Linked DNA regions of Elephas maximus indicus. The protein of the gene in region 2 purifies or fractionates together with the protein of the main gene of each other region. This does not show direct contact. Links are inferred from orthologs where the notes say so. Each region holds a gene or a part of one and is shown on either strand. Other genes may lie near its edges.

Evidence for each region. Proteins that work in one complex are often made in the same cells at the same time.
Region 1: the proteins of HNRNPC (region 2) and CRNKL1 purify together in Homo sapiens (co-immunoprecipitation; 3 studies listed by BioGRID and IntAct, with this or other methods). This does not show direct contact. The link is inferred for Elephas maximus indicus from reciprocal best matches to the Homo sapiens genes HNRNPC and CRNKL1.

The regions. Positions count from the first base shown.
Region 1 is NC_064843.1:61,128,864-61,136,023, reverse strand, and holds the start of CRNKL1 (crooked neck-like protein 1), read left to right. Parts: upstream 1-4,149; 5' UTR 4,150-4,256; coding exon 4,257-4,307; intron 4,308-5,287; coding exon 5,288-5,440; intron 5,441-6,467; coding exon 6,468-6,559; intron 6,560-7,160. UniProt on the Homo sapiens protein: Involved in pre-mRNA splicing process. As a component of the minor spliceosome, involved in the splicing of U12-type introns in pre-mRNAs.
Region 2 is NC_064828.1:31,625,242-31,632,948, reverse strand, and holds the start of HNRNPC (heterogeneous nuclear ribonucleoproteins C1/C2), read left to right. Parts: upstream 1-4,707; 5' UTR 4,708-4,856; intron 4,857-5,512; 5' UTR 5,513-5,558; intron 5,559-7,707. UniProt on the Homo sapiens protein: Binds pre-mRNA and nucleates the assembly of 40S hnRNP particles. Interacts with poly-U tracts in the 3'-UTR or 5'-UTR of mRNA and modulates the stability and the level of translation of bound mRNA molecules. Single HNRNPC tetramers bind 230-240 nucleotides.

The sequences.
Region 1 (7,160 bases), on a different chromosome or scaffold from region 2:
AAAGACTTTACCAAAAGAGTAAAAATATTACCCACAGATTGGGAAAAAGTTTTTAGCTATAACATTTCTGATCAGCAGCTGATCTCTAAAATCTACATGTTACTACAAAAACTCAACTGCAAAAAGACAAATAACTCAATGAAAAAATGTGCAAAGGATATGAACAGGCACTTCACTAAAGAAGACATTCAGGTAGCCATCACACAAACAGATAAATGCACACTCATGTTCACTGCTGCACTGTTTACAATAGCAAAAAGATGGATGCAGCCAAGGTGTCCATCAATGGATAGATAAATTATGGTATATTCACACAATGGAATACTATGCATCGATAAAGAACAACAATGAATCTGTGAAACATTTCATAACATGGAGGAATTTGGAAGGCATTATGCTGAGGGATATTAGTCAATTCCAAAAGGACAAATATCGGATAAGACCACCATTACAAGAACTCAAAAAATAGTTTAAGCATAGATGAAAATATTGGTTGATGGTTACAAGAGGAGGGAGGGTAGGAGAGGGGTATTCATTAATTAGATAGTAGATAAGAACTACTTTAGGTGAAGGGAAAGACAACACACAATACAGGTGAGATCAGCACAACTGGACTAAACTAAAAGCAAAGAAATTTCCTGAATAAATTGAACGCTTCGAAGTCCAGCATAGGGTGGGGGTTTGGGGACCATGGCTCCAGGGGACATCTAAGTCAATTGGCACAATAAAATCTATTAAGAAAACATACTGCATTCCACTTTGGAGAGTGGCACCTGGGGTCTTAAATGCTAGCAACCAGCCATCTAACATGCATCAATTGGTCTCAACCCACCTGGAGCAAAGGAGAATGAAGAACACCACGGACACAAGGTAATTACCAGCCCAAGAGACAGAAAGGGCCACATAAACCAGAGACTACATCAGCCTGAGACCAGAACCAGATGGTGCCTGGGTACAATCGATGACTGCCCTGGCAAGGAACACAACAGAAAACCCCTGAGGAAGCAGGAGAGCAGTGGGATGCAGACTTCAAATTCTCGTAAAAAGACCAGACTTAATGGTTTGACTGAGACTAGAAGGACTCCGGAGGTCATGGTCCCCAGGCTTTCTCTAGCCTAAGACAGGAACCATTGCCAAAGCCAACTCTTCAGACAGGGATTGGACTGGACTATGGGATAGAAAATGATACTGGTGAAGAGCGAGCTTCTTGGATCAAGTAGACACATGAGACTATGAGGGCAGCTCCCATCTGGAGGGGAGATGGGAGGACAGAGGGGGTCAGAAGCTGACCAAATGGACACAAAAATAGAGAGTGGAGGGAAGGAGTGTGCCGTCTCATTAGTGGGAGAGCAACTAGGAGTATATAGCAAGGTGTATATAAAATTTTGTATAAGAGGCTGACTTGACTTGTAAACTTTCACTTAAAGCAAAATAAAATTAAAAAAAAAAGCTTGTGAGTGGCCATGTAAGATACAACTATTGGTCTCTACTCATCCAGAGCAAAAGAGAAAGAAGGAAACCAAAGACTCAAAGAAGAAATTAATCTACAGGACTAACAATCTACATGAACCATGGTCTCATCTACCCTGAGACCAGAAGAAATACATGGTGCCCAGTTACCACTACCAGTCATTCTTATCAGGGCCCAAATGGATGGATTCTTAGAGAACAGGAGAAAAATGTGGAACAGAGACCAAATTTTTAAAAAGTCCCAACTTACTGGACTGGTTGAGACTAGAGGATTCCCAAGACTGGCACCCTAAGAAACTCTTTAAGCCTTGAAATGAAACCATCCCCTGAGGGAAAACAGAGTGGCTCATAAAATAAAAGGAAACCCTGGTGGCATAGTGGTGCCTTTAAAAAGTCATCTATGAGACCAAATGGTCAACAATCACTCTAAACAAAGATGAAGAGGTTAGGGGGCAGGGAAACCAGATTACTGGAAACGAAATTAATAAGAATGTTGACACATTGTGAAAAATATAACTAATGAACTAATGTAACTAATATAGAAACCGTTAAATGAGAACCTAATTTGCTATGTAAACTCCCACTGAAAACGCAATAAAATATTATTTTAAAAAAATGAGGAAGAAATAAGACACCTGTGAAAATATTGACGACCTACGAAAATGTTAGAAGTTAAACAGGCACCACAAGAGAAATAGTTTCATTATGTTTTGCCCAATTAATGATTAACTGCTTAAAAAAATACTCTTGTTTTAAAAAATGAAGGTGATATAAAGACACTTTCATACAAAAAAACCTTGAGAGAGGTTACCATTCAAAGAACCCAGTTAAGAGAACTAGTAAAAGATGTATTCCAGAACGAATAAAATTAAAATCAGAAACGAGTGGAATACAAGATGCACTGCTGAGAGAAAAAAGGTAACATGCAGGTATAGCTAAATAAGCACTGATGGCAAAAAGAAAAGTAATAATAATGATAATTTTGCTTAAAAACCAGGTTGTACTAAACAAGCAGACAAAAAAAACATGTGAGAGGAAAGAATGGTGATTAGGAAGTAAAGCATTTTAAGGTGTTTGTATCTCTGAGAGGAGGCTAAAACCAAAAAAACAAACCCATTGCTATTGAGTAGATTCCAACTCATAGCCACCCTATAGTACATAGCAGAACTGCCCCATAGGGTTTCTAAGAAGGGGCTGGTGGATTCCAACTGCCAGCCTTTTGGTTAGCAGCTCAGCTCTAAACCACTGTGCCAGTGCCATTAGGGGTGATTAACTTTGTTAGATCAACTATGCATAGTTACAAATTGAAGGGAAGTCATTAAACATGTTTTTATTTTAATAGCTATTTCTTTATTTTGTTAGGTGACTTCTTTTATGATAAAAAAAATTATGATAAAAAAAATTATGATAGTGACATAAAATCTCTAACTTTTTAATGTGAGATAACTTAAAAATATTTAAGTAATATAAGTAAGTGGTACAAAGCTGTGGCAAATATTTTGATGTTTTTTAACTTAAAAATGTTTAAGTAATATAAGTAAGTGGTACAAAGCTGTGGCAAATATTTTGATGTTAGTTAATAATAACTGTAATTTAAGAAATCTGCATAAAACATTTTTTGAAAGCAGTATCTGCATAGGTAGGACATGCTTGAAATTACTACTTACATAAATATATAAATACATATTTTGGAAAACACCGAAAGAAACTTGCAACTGTCAAAATTCTCTTAACCGTTTGGCTTGCACAGAATTAATTTTTCTGTTGTTGAAGGCAGGTCAATAATTATACCAGATAGCATTATTAAGCACTTTACACAGGTTTTCTTTTTAATCCTGTGAAATAGGTATTGTTATACTTGTTTTACAGTCGAAGACCTTGAGGCTAAAATGATTTAAGAGGCACACTCGCAGAGAATTTAAACATTGGTTTATATGACCACGAGGCTGGATGGTTTGCTAGTCACTTTGCTAATTGATTTTCATTCCTTTTTTTTTTTTTTTTTAATATCTGGCTTTAAAATGTCTTCCATTATTTTAACTTCTAAGCATTAGAGTTAATTATTTGGGTTCCAAATCAAAACCAAACAGTTGCCGTCGAGTCGATTCCAACCCACAGCGACCCTACAGGACAGAGTAGAACTGCCCCATAGGGTTTCCCAGGAGCGGCTGCTGGATTCAAACTGGTGACCGTTTGATCAGCTGCCAAGCTCCTAACCACTGTGCCACCAAGGCTCTCATCTTGGGCACAACTGTCCAGAAACGAACAGGGAATGAACCTCAGGGACTACAACACCCAGAATGTAAAGCGGCGCTGGGCCGCCCAGGAACGCGGCACGTCGCCACTTGGCATGCTGGGAGTGGTAGTTTTCAGCCGGCCTCTCTTCCCCGTCCTTGAGACCTTCCAAATCGGAGCTAGCCGATGGCGCCTGGCAAAATCCACCGGCGCTGCCACTGTCATCTCAGTCCCGAAGTCCGACATGGGGATGCGCCTCGGACGCCCTAGGCCCAGTCTCCGCGTCCCTTCCTGTCAGGACGGCGCTACCCACCTCATCAGCAGCCCCAGGGCGCGCGCTCCTCCGCCAGCTCCGGGACGGACGCGCATCCCGTTACCACAGAAACGGCGCTTCCTGCGTCACGGCGCGTGCGAGAAGTCAAAGGTCAGCCAAGGTAGTTCCGCTTCCGGTTCCGGGGTTCTGCTTGTTGTCAAAAATCTTTGGTGGTGTCGGCCAGCCCTCCAGGCAACTTCGGGGATTCAGGGGTCTCCGGAGGCCCGCGGCTGCAGACATGGCGGCCTCCACCGCGGCCGGAAAGCAGCGGATCCCCAAAGTGGCTAAGGTGAGCCGCTGCTACCCAGAGGCCTTTGGGGGGCGGGCGGGAGGGGGGCTAGGAAAGGGGATTCCCCCCGGCCCAGCCTCCGCGCTGCCCTGGGCGAGGGAGTGTTGTCCTGGGTTAGGCCCATGTGGCATTCAATACTTTTTGTGCCTCAATTCCCTAAATTTTTGTCGGGCACCTCTTATGTAAAAAGAGCTGCGAAGAAAACAGTAATGAGCAGAGTCGGTATAAGAGAGCACCGTCCAATGGAAGTATAATGCGAGCCACTTACATAATTTTCAATACTCTTGTACCCACGTTAAAACATCAAAAATGAAATTAATGTTAATTGTTTAATCCAGTGTACCGAAATATTGTCATTTCGACACGTAATATTAAAAATTTTTGGTGGGGTAGTTTACTTTTTTTTTTTTTCCTTCATACTAAGTCTTCGAAATTTCCAGTCTCAATCTGGACTCCCCACAGGTGGCTTGTGACTAGCATGTTGGACAGCAGAGCTCTAAGACCTCACAAAGTTCACAGTCTAATGACGGGAACTTACTGAATATTGTCTTTGACTTGAAATAATATTAAAAATCAAACTGTTCTTTACCAAGGGCATTGAGATAAGTTGAAGAATCCCATAAGTGGAGGTTATAATAAGGAGCCCTGGTGGCACAGTGGTTAAGCACTTGGCTGCTAACCAGAAAGTCACAGTTCAAGGCTACCAACCACTCCATAGGAGAAAGATGTGGCAGTCTATTTCTGTAAAGATTACAGTCTTGGAAACCCTATGGGGGAGTTCTATTCTGTCCTATAGGGTCACTATGAATCAGAATGTAAGAGAAAAACAGGTTTTTTTTCTCTTCAGGCTCATAGAGAAACGGGAACATGTCATAATCAGGCTGTCTTGTAATAATGCTTATGAAGATCATAAGCTAAAAAGTGTTCATTTGTTTTGTAAACCTTGAGCACCTATATAGAAATGTCATTTGTCTTAAAAGGTGAAAAACAAAGCCCCGGCTGAGGTACAGATAACTGCTGAGCAGCTCCTAAGAGAAGCTAAAGAAAGAGAACTTGAGCTTCTTCCACCTCCACCTCAACAGAAGATCACAGATGAAGAAGAGTTAAACGATTACAAACTAAGGAAAAGGAAGGTCAGTCAATGTGTTACATTTCAGAGAGCCTATTAATATTGTTAGGAATTTATAGATCAGAATTTTAAAAGCTCCTCATTGATTAGAGAGTCTGTAAGATAAGAAGTTAGTGTTTCTAGCCATATGAATAATATAACTTCTGGTTACCAGATAATTGCATTTTGCTAAACTATCTAAATATGCCATGAGTTGTCTGTTTTAAAGCATAAAGGAATTAAATCCACCAGAAAGATAATTTTTGGTGCTACATTGAAGATGGAGCCCTGGTGGCATAGTGGTTAAGAGCTCAGCTGCTGAGCAAAAGGTCAACGCTCCAAATCCACCAGTCACCGCTTGGAAAATGGGGCAGTTCTCCTCTACCTGTAGGGTCGCTATGAATCGGAACCAAATTGACGGCACCTAACAACAACAACATTGAAGATAGGTGGAATTTTAACTGATGGAAACAACTGGCAGCCGTAAAAGGGAGTACTAGCAAGAAGGGCATACTAGTAAGGCTGCATCCTGGTCTTCTGTCTGTGCCACCTTCTGTGTTAATAGTTAAGACCTGGGAAAGGGCTAGGAAGACGCTTTGGGATATGATCTGACTTTCCCACCCTAAAATGTGGGATTGTTTTAAACCACTAAGCCTGTCATGTGTGCTTATTAGATATTTTCAATGAGTTATACATGAAGTTCTTAGACGTTACCAAGAAGACTTAAAGGTAATAGTCAAAAACATTTTCTTATTAGGAATACGTATAGGCTGAAGTATCAGTTAGTTGTCATAGGCAACAGGAGAAAATATCAATAATTACACTAATCTTTATATCTAAGATTTCACTTTCTTTGCATATAAGACTTCAAAGAAACACCTGTGATTCTTATCTTCTTTAGTGGGCTTTTTATTCTTCAAGGATTCCTGGATGTCATTTCTCTTAAATAAGAGTAGAATGAATGGCTTTTTTAATACAAGGATTAATAAACAAAGGATTATATCATTTTTAGCTGTCTTCCCTCTAGCTTGACGCTTTTTGCATTTCTCCAGACTTTTGAAGATAACATAAGGAAAAACAGAACCGTGATTAGTAACTGGATAAAGTATGCACAATGGGAAGAGAGTCTGAAGGAGATCCAGAGGTAAAATTAATGAGAGAGTGATTTTTTTATGTGTCATGGGCTAACAGATACAAAAAATTAGAAAAAATTAAAGCCCAGGTAAAGGTTGTGTCCCTCGTGGTTTTCCCGCGGGTTCTTTTCGTGGGCCTTGGGCAGTATGGACGGGTGGCCTACGGGAGATGGCAGCAGGAGCCTACACAGGTGGACGTCACCACCATCACAGCCTCTGTAACCAGAGAAGCTCAGTGTCAGCTGCTTTCTATACACTGAGAGTTTTTTAAAATTCCACTGAAATCCAGTAGCCAATAGGATAAAAATCTGAGTGCAATCTGTCATCATGACCTGGTCCTCCCTGTCATCTAGCCTCTCCCCGTTCTCTCAGCGTACCCTCTGATCCCACTGTACTTGCCATGCCCTGAACACTTCATGGCTCTTACCTGGGCGCTTGGCTGGCCTCCTGGTAAACAGACATTTTACTCACATTCTCAATTCTGAAGTTACCTACTACTTAGCCTTTCCCACCAGACATTTTCATTTGTTCGCTCTGCTTCCTTGGGCACAATTATCACATTATAATTACATGCCTGTCGGTCTTTTTATGAGACTTTGTAAGATTCCTGAG
Region 2 (7,707 bases):
TAACAACAACAATCTTGTATTAGGGCAAATAATAACTACGAAAAGCGTTTGAGAAGAGGTGTAGAGCTTGAAGACCAAGAATGTTATATTGTTTTGTGACATACCTGGTGTTTAGGTCAGTGCCTGGAGTATGTAAACATTTAAACTATTGGTTAATTAAATAACCAATTGAACTAATCATCATACATCTTATAAAAATAATTAATTGGGACTTGGGTTTTAAAGGATGGTTGAACTATGGGGAAGGAGAACAATAGCTTGGGAAATTGGAGTGAGGAAAGCAGGGCCTGCCTAGGCCAGGGTTCTTATAGAGGGGATAAAATTGATTGGTAATGAGGGGTGGCGGCACCACGGGTCCAACAGAATTCTCGCCTTCCATGTGGGAGGCTGGTGTTCCGCTCTGGGCCGAAGCGCTTCATGCACAGCCGCCGCCCATCTGTCAGTGGAGGCTTGCATGGTGCTACGATGCTGAGCAGGTTTCACCAGAGCTTCCAGGTTCAGTCAGACTAGGAAGAAAGGCCTGCTAAACTACTTCTGAAAATCAGCCAGTGGAAATCCTATGGATCACAATAGTCTGATCTGTATCAAGGAGGGGCCGGTCAGGGAAGAGCTCAGAATGAAACAATATAAATTTAGGATTGGAATGTAGAGCTATTACAGGATTCTGGTGTGGGAGTCACATAATAAAAATGATCCAGATGATCACCATGGCAGCAGTTCCATGGCAGCAGTTTGCAGAATCAGTATGGAAGGCAGACTAAATGTGGGACCCAAAGGTAAGGGTCTTGAAAGTGGTGTGTAATACCTTCAACATGTTTTCATGTAGAATATGGGTGCCTGTAGAAGATAGCTTGCAAACAGTCAGATTATTGTTAGCTGCCAACAAGATAGTCTGCAATTCACAGTGACCCCATGTATGACAGAACAAAATGCTGCCTGGTCCTGTGCCATCCCCACGACTGACTGCAGATGGAACTGTTGTGATCCATAGGGTTTCCATTGGCTGACTTTTCAGGGGTAGATCTCCAGGCCTTTCCTCCTAGTCTGTCCTAGTCTGTCAGCTCTGCTGAAACCTGTTCAGCATCATAGCAACACACAAGCCTCCACGGACAGATAGGTGGTGGTTGCACATGGTATGCATTGGCTGGGAGTTGAACCTAGGTTTCCTGCATGAAAGGGGAGAATTCTACCACTGAATCACCAATGCCCTCAAACAGTCAGAAAGGCCTCCAAACTACAATAAAGAAATATAAAGAGTGTCGGGTAAAATAAGACAGCTCTGTGAAATTTTAATTACGTTCTTTTTCTGAGTTCATCGGAGACTACCTCCTCACTCTTCAGTGGAAGATGCTTATGACATTGTTGGACAATGGAAGATATAGAAGAACAGAGGCAATGATGATTGTCCTGGAATGCGATAGGTGACTAGGTAGGCTCAGGGTGTGTAGGATGATGGATATTGAGGACAATATCCAGCTAACGACTCAGGTAAAAAGTAAATTAGGCATTTCATAGCCGTTGATGCTTTTCCTTTCTTCTTCTTGACTAATGGCTTGGAACTGGTAGTGGGGAGAGGGAATATGTATTATTCTGGTAATACATCTAAGCCACTTGAAGCTTTCTTTGAACAAAATTATTTCTTGAAGTAGAAACAAAAGTTCAGTTTTGTTTTGACTTCTCTTTAGACCAAGATAAGGACTTACTGCTTCTCTGTTGCCTTACCTCTTTTCTCTCCTTCCACTGCTGAAGTGTGGAACTATTCTGGAGTATAGAATAGAAAAGTATACACAGCTACCCAACAGGAGCATTTAACTTTAGAAGCTTTTAACTGTGAGGGTGTTTAGAGTCAGCACAAGGGGTCAAGGCAATTCCCTGCTCTCTACCTTACTTGCCTAGGTTTAAGAGCACCAAAAACCAAAGTCATGAATATTTGTCATCATATTTGGCAGTTAACATTCTGCCTTGTACTGTGCTATTTTTGCACTTGTTTTCTCATTCCTAGTAAATTCTAAGTTACTCGATGGAAGGACTGGCTATTAATTCTTCTTGTATCTGCCATTTCCACTCTACCTAGCATGGGGTAAACTCCTTGAAAACATGCATGCTGTCTCCTAAGCACCTCTTTTGCACCATATACAGTGCTGGTTAATAAGTAGGTCATGACAAAGATCATGCAATAAAACTGATATCTGGTAAAAAATAAAAATAGGTAGTTTTTATTAACATAAACTTTTTTTTTGAGAAAAACGAGTAATAAAACACGTTAGTGCTTTTTTGTTTGTTTGTTTACTTAAGTCAAATTACATGATTTACGTGTCATATCCTGGTGGTGTAACAGTTAAATGCTATGCCTGCTAACCAAAGGGTTAGTAGTTCGAATCCGCCAGATGCTCCTTGGAAACTCTATGGGGGCAGTTCTACTCTGTCCTATGAGTCAGTTGCTATGGGTCGGAATCGACTCTATGGCAACGGGTTGGGTTTGGTTTGGTTTGGTTTACAGGGCTCAAAGCCTCTGGGCCCCTCTGAGTGAGTGCTAGATAAGATATGTAAGAGAGAGGACAGTCTACCTGCTTGTCCTGGGAAAATAGCAATTTCCCCCTCCTTAATAAAAAAAAAATAAAAAATAATAATTTTTTTTTAATAAAAGGTAATTAAATTAATACATATTTAAACACTTTCTGTTTAAGGCATTGTGACAAGTAGTAAGCAAGGTGGACTACAGAGAGGAGTAAGAATTAAACCCTGCCATTAAAAAAGGTTACCACCCAACAAGAAGAACAGACAAGTGTAAAATTAACTACAGTACCTCAGAGTTTTAGATAAATTTCAATGTGACAATTGAACTGAGGCTTTAAGCACTTGTAGGATTTTTCCCTTGATTTTTTGTTCAAACTAGACAATTTGGAAAATATAGAAAAGCACAAGTAAAAAAAAAAATCACATGTAATTATCCCACCAGGAGAGAACCACTATTAACGTTTTAGTGTATTTTTTCTTTCATGGCTTTTATTTTTGATTTTCTAACTAGCTTAAAGTAATACGTGCATATGGTAAAACATTCAAATTGTATACAAAGGGAGATCAATGAAAAAGGTAAACAAGTTTCTTTCCCCAAACGTAACAGCTAACTTTCCTGTAAATTTCTCTGAATTCAGAATTCAAAACTAATGTATGAAACAGCATCTACACAGATATAAAAAAAAAAATTTTTTTTTATGTATCCCTTTAAAATGTATACAAATAGAATCACTCATCTAGACAGTTTTCTGTATCTTGCTTTTTCCAATAAATAACAGAAATATGATCCTTCCCTAACAGCACATACAAATCTCCCTGTTTTAGTAGTCCTACTCCATTGTGTGCCTGGCTGCTATAATTTAGTCAGGCGGCAGGCAATGGGGGGGGGGGGGTGGGCGTAAAATAGGATGAGGGTTATTAAGAGACCAGTTACTCAAACAGCCAGACCCAAAAAAAAAAAAACCAAACCCACTGCCATCGAGTCGATTCGGATTCGGACTCATGGCGACCCTATAGAACAGAGTAGAACTGCCCTATAGGGTTTCCAAGGAGCGCCTGGCGGATTTGAACTGTCAACTTCTTGGTTAGCAGCCGTAGCACTTAACCACTACACCACCAGGGTTTCCCAAAGAGACAGAGGAGTAGGCTAATTTGGTTTACACGCAGGCTATTATTAGTGAGATAAGGCTTGGGGACAGAGATGGGTGCTCTAGTATCCCAGGCCAGCATTTTACACTTCACTTGCTTGATGTATTGGAGAGAAATTAAGAAGTCAGCTGGCTTGGGAGGGTGTTTGGTGCGAAAGCCTAAGTGCTCCAACCATAAGGTTGGCGGTTGGAACCCACCTAGAGATGCCACAGAAGAAAGGCCTGGCGATCTGTTTCCAAAAGCTCAGTCTTGAAAACCCTATGGAAGGCAACTGTAACACATGGCGTCGCCATGAGTCAGGACTTGATGGCAACTGGTACTGGTATGCGTCGTCCGAACAAGGGCTTGATGGGCTGAGACGTGGAGATGTCCTTGAGGCAGCTGAAATTCCAATCTGGTACTGAGATTGCGGTTGGGAGAAACCTGCAGGCGAGCAGGACTGATTAGTTTTCTACACACTTTACCACAGCCTAGTCATCACGGCTCCTTTTCACTCTAGAAAACGCCCTTTAGCCACACACGCGAGGGAAGCTTCACTTGGTGTTTTTCTTTTTCCTAGGCCCGGGGCTACGGTAGATTTGCCGTGCAAGGCGGAGCCACCGAGGAAAGCTTGCCGTTCGCGCCAGCTACCTGACTACGCCCCTCACCCCTACTCCGCCCCCGCGCCCGGGAACTCGGAGATCTGGGCGGGCCTTTTACTGGGCGCTCTAGGAGACTGCGATAGGATACTGAGACCGTCAATCAAACTTGCCGGATACCCGGATGTGAAGCGGTGCGCGATACAAAGGCGAGTTTCCACCCGGCGGTACAGTGGCCAATAAGCATGCCTCAAGTGATAAATGACAGGAAAAGTAACCAGTTACAAAGTAGTTTCGCTCACGCATGTGGAAATTCTCTTGCTCGGTCTAACCCACTGCAAGTTGTGATTGGATAGAATTGTGAAGAGCAGTAGAAATGTCTTATTAGGAGAGGGAGCGAGACAGGGAACAGCCAATAAGAAGGTTCCTAGAAGTGAGGCGGGGGCTAGGTCTTCGCCTCCGCGGCAGAGGAGACTCGGGGGCCATTTTGTGAAGAGGCGAAGACAGAGCGGTTGCGGCCGCGTTGCCGACCTCGAGCAGCAGTCGGCTTCTTCACGTAGAATCTGGGAGTAGGAGATTGATAATCGAATCTCTTCTCCCAACCCCCTCCTGGTAAGTGGAGGCGGCGGCCGCAGTGGTGACACTGGGTTCCTCGAGGAGCGCGAGGGGGTGTGGGAAAAGAGACGAGGGAACCCTTCCTTCGGTAACCAGGCCCCCATTTATTCCATGTGTCCTGGGGGATTAGGTTTTATGCGGGAGGGAGTTTTGCAGGTCTCAGCCGCTGCGTAGATTTCACCTACAGTCCTCTAGGCCTCGACCGGCAGAGAAAATGTCATTTTTCTTTTTTGCTTTCTATGTTAACGGTTGCTTTCTTTTGATTTTCTGTGACTCTGAGGACTCCCAAGAGAGACTATGAAAGTGAAGATCGAGATGGTCATTAGTATAGTTGAAGTTTGATGTAGTGCGGATGCCTTCTGTTATCTCCATCTCTTAAATTAGAAAATTGGGTGTGTGTGGTGTGGGGGAGGGTTACCAATTAGGTGTTGTACCGTGATCGTCTCAAATTCTGGAGTGTGTTGCGGGGCATAAGATAAGAATAATGAATATAGCTGTAGATTTAATTTTTTTGCTGATTATCTTTTAATTTACTACTCCCTGTGAACACATGATGGACCTTGAAGTAGTTACTTTCGATTCTATTTACAAAAGAAAATCGAATTAACAATAACAGTAATAATTACAGCTGATTTACTACTTTTTATCTGCAGGTTACAATTGACTTGAAATACATAAGTTAGTGGAACTTTGCTTGAGGTAGGTATTACTGTTTTTCTCAGAGAAACAGGCATAAGAGCGTTGGCAGGGTCGTTAAATCAGTAGTGAAACTAGTACTTGTAAGGAATTTGATTACTAGGTCAGTCGTTTTACGTAGTTACTGGCATGCTGGTTACTAAACAGTACTATATTTGAATCTTTATAAGAACCACATTACAAAGTCTATTGGTAGGGAGTTGTAAATTCCAAACTGCACTTGAGAAAAATATTTAATTACGAGAATTGGATTTGTAATTAATGTAACTTCCTAAGATGACAAACTTAAAATTCGACTTCCAGGATATTTTGGTATTCATTTTTCTATCCATCTAAACTTTTGTGGCAAAAATGCACCATTAATACTTTTTATTAAGCAAGTATTGTAGTGCCTGCGATTTGCTAGGTGCTGAAACAGTATTTGAAAAATTTACTAAGTTTATAGAAGTGGCAGATTTTTAAGTATCCCATTCACTTACCCAGAAAATCGTTTATCTTTGTGTAAGATTGAGTTGATTTAGTCAAAATGTTTAACTCACAGAAAAACTAATGTTAAGTACACTTTTAACCAATATCGAAGGGTAAGAAATTCATCTCTCAGGAAACCTATTTGTTGGAAAGTAAAAATAGTCTTATTCCAGATAGATGTGCATTTGCAGATTCCTCACCATGTAAATACTGAAAATTCTATAATAGGGTTACATGGGATCAAAAGCATTTTGTAAAAATGCCTAAGAATTTACATTATACATGGGCTTAGACTAAAGTTTATCACTTTGCTGAACTGTCAGAAATAAGATAAGGCCAGTGATTGATTAATTTAGGAACTCTGATAAAAGTACTGTTGGCAAATGAAATCTCAGGAATTTTTAACGTTTTAGAAAGGTTATTGTTAAGAGTTGAAATTAATTGAAGGACACTTGTCTTGACTTGAGGTGTCAGAAGTAAGGGTTTCTTAGCATCTTCATGTACCAAGCTAACAAAAATTCCTTTGAGTTCATATCCTTTAGAAAGTATTTGGCCACAGAATTAAAATCTGAAACAAAATATAGATGTGTTCTCAACTAGATAGACATTAGTAACATTTTCATGTTGGGCTAGGTAGAGGAAGAGGGATGACTAAATTGTGGGTCTTTCTGGTAGTTTTGTGCTCCCTATGCCACTCTCCCAGTACCTGCTGCTATTCCTTGTATAGAAAGTGTAAACATAGCTTATAATTGTAATTAGATCTCTAGAGGGCTTGATGTAGCATTCAACCTCGTTTTGCCTAGAACATCAAGACTTTTCACAGTAGTTTTCAAATATGAGCAGGTGAGCTGGTTAAAGGAGTTTGTTGGGCCCCACCACCCGAGTTAAGTCATTCTAAGGCGGGGCCTGAGAATTTGCATTTCTAACAAGCGACAGGTGATAATGATGCTCATGGGATTGGTTGACACACTTCATTCTGAGAATTCCAGTAGAAGAAGGAATCCAAACCTCGCTGAAGTTTGACAAAGTATAATCTAGGTATGCTCTTAATTGCAAAGCATCAGGATTAGGTGCTAATGTTTTTTTTTTTTTTTTTAAGTGATAGTTTATCAATTTAACATACCATCATGGGAGATACTTTAACTTCATACTGAAAGATGTAAATGCTTTCTTTTCTTATTGCTGTTTTTTAAGCTTCTGTCTCTTGGCACATTTGCAGAGGATTTGTTTGTGAATGAGCCGTAGTCACTTAACATAACCTGAAGATTTTGAGTACTAAGTGATGCCGAATGTTTCTCCATAACTGTACTTTCCAAACACTGACTTTCCCAAATAACATTCAGATGTACATTTCCTACAGTTTGTACAGTTTTACATCACATTTCATACTTAAACTGCTCTCCCTCCCCTTTTTAAATTTACAGTTAAAATTTTAGAGTTACAGTACCCATTGCATTTTAATTAGTCATTCATACATAATCAACTCAAGGAACACTTAAAAAAGCTCAGTTTTAAGTTTTTTAGTTTCTTCAAGTTTGTGTAGGAGAATAAGACTTAATGGTTTAATATTGAGTGCAGCCAATCATTCTTATTTGAAAAGTGACCTAATTTCAAATCTTGTTTAAGCTGTTGTAATAGTTGCCTGTATATGTTTATTTTAGTATGGTATTGTATGTCATTTTCT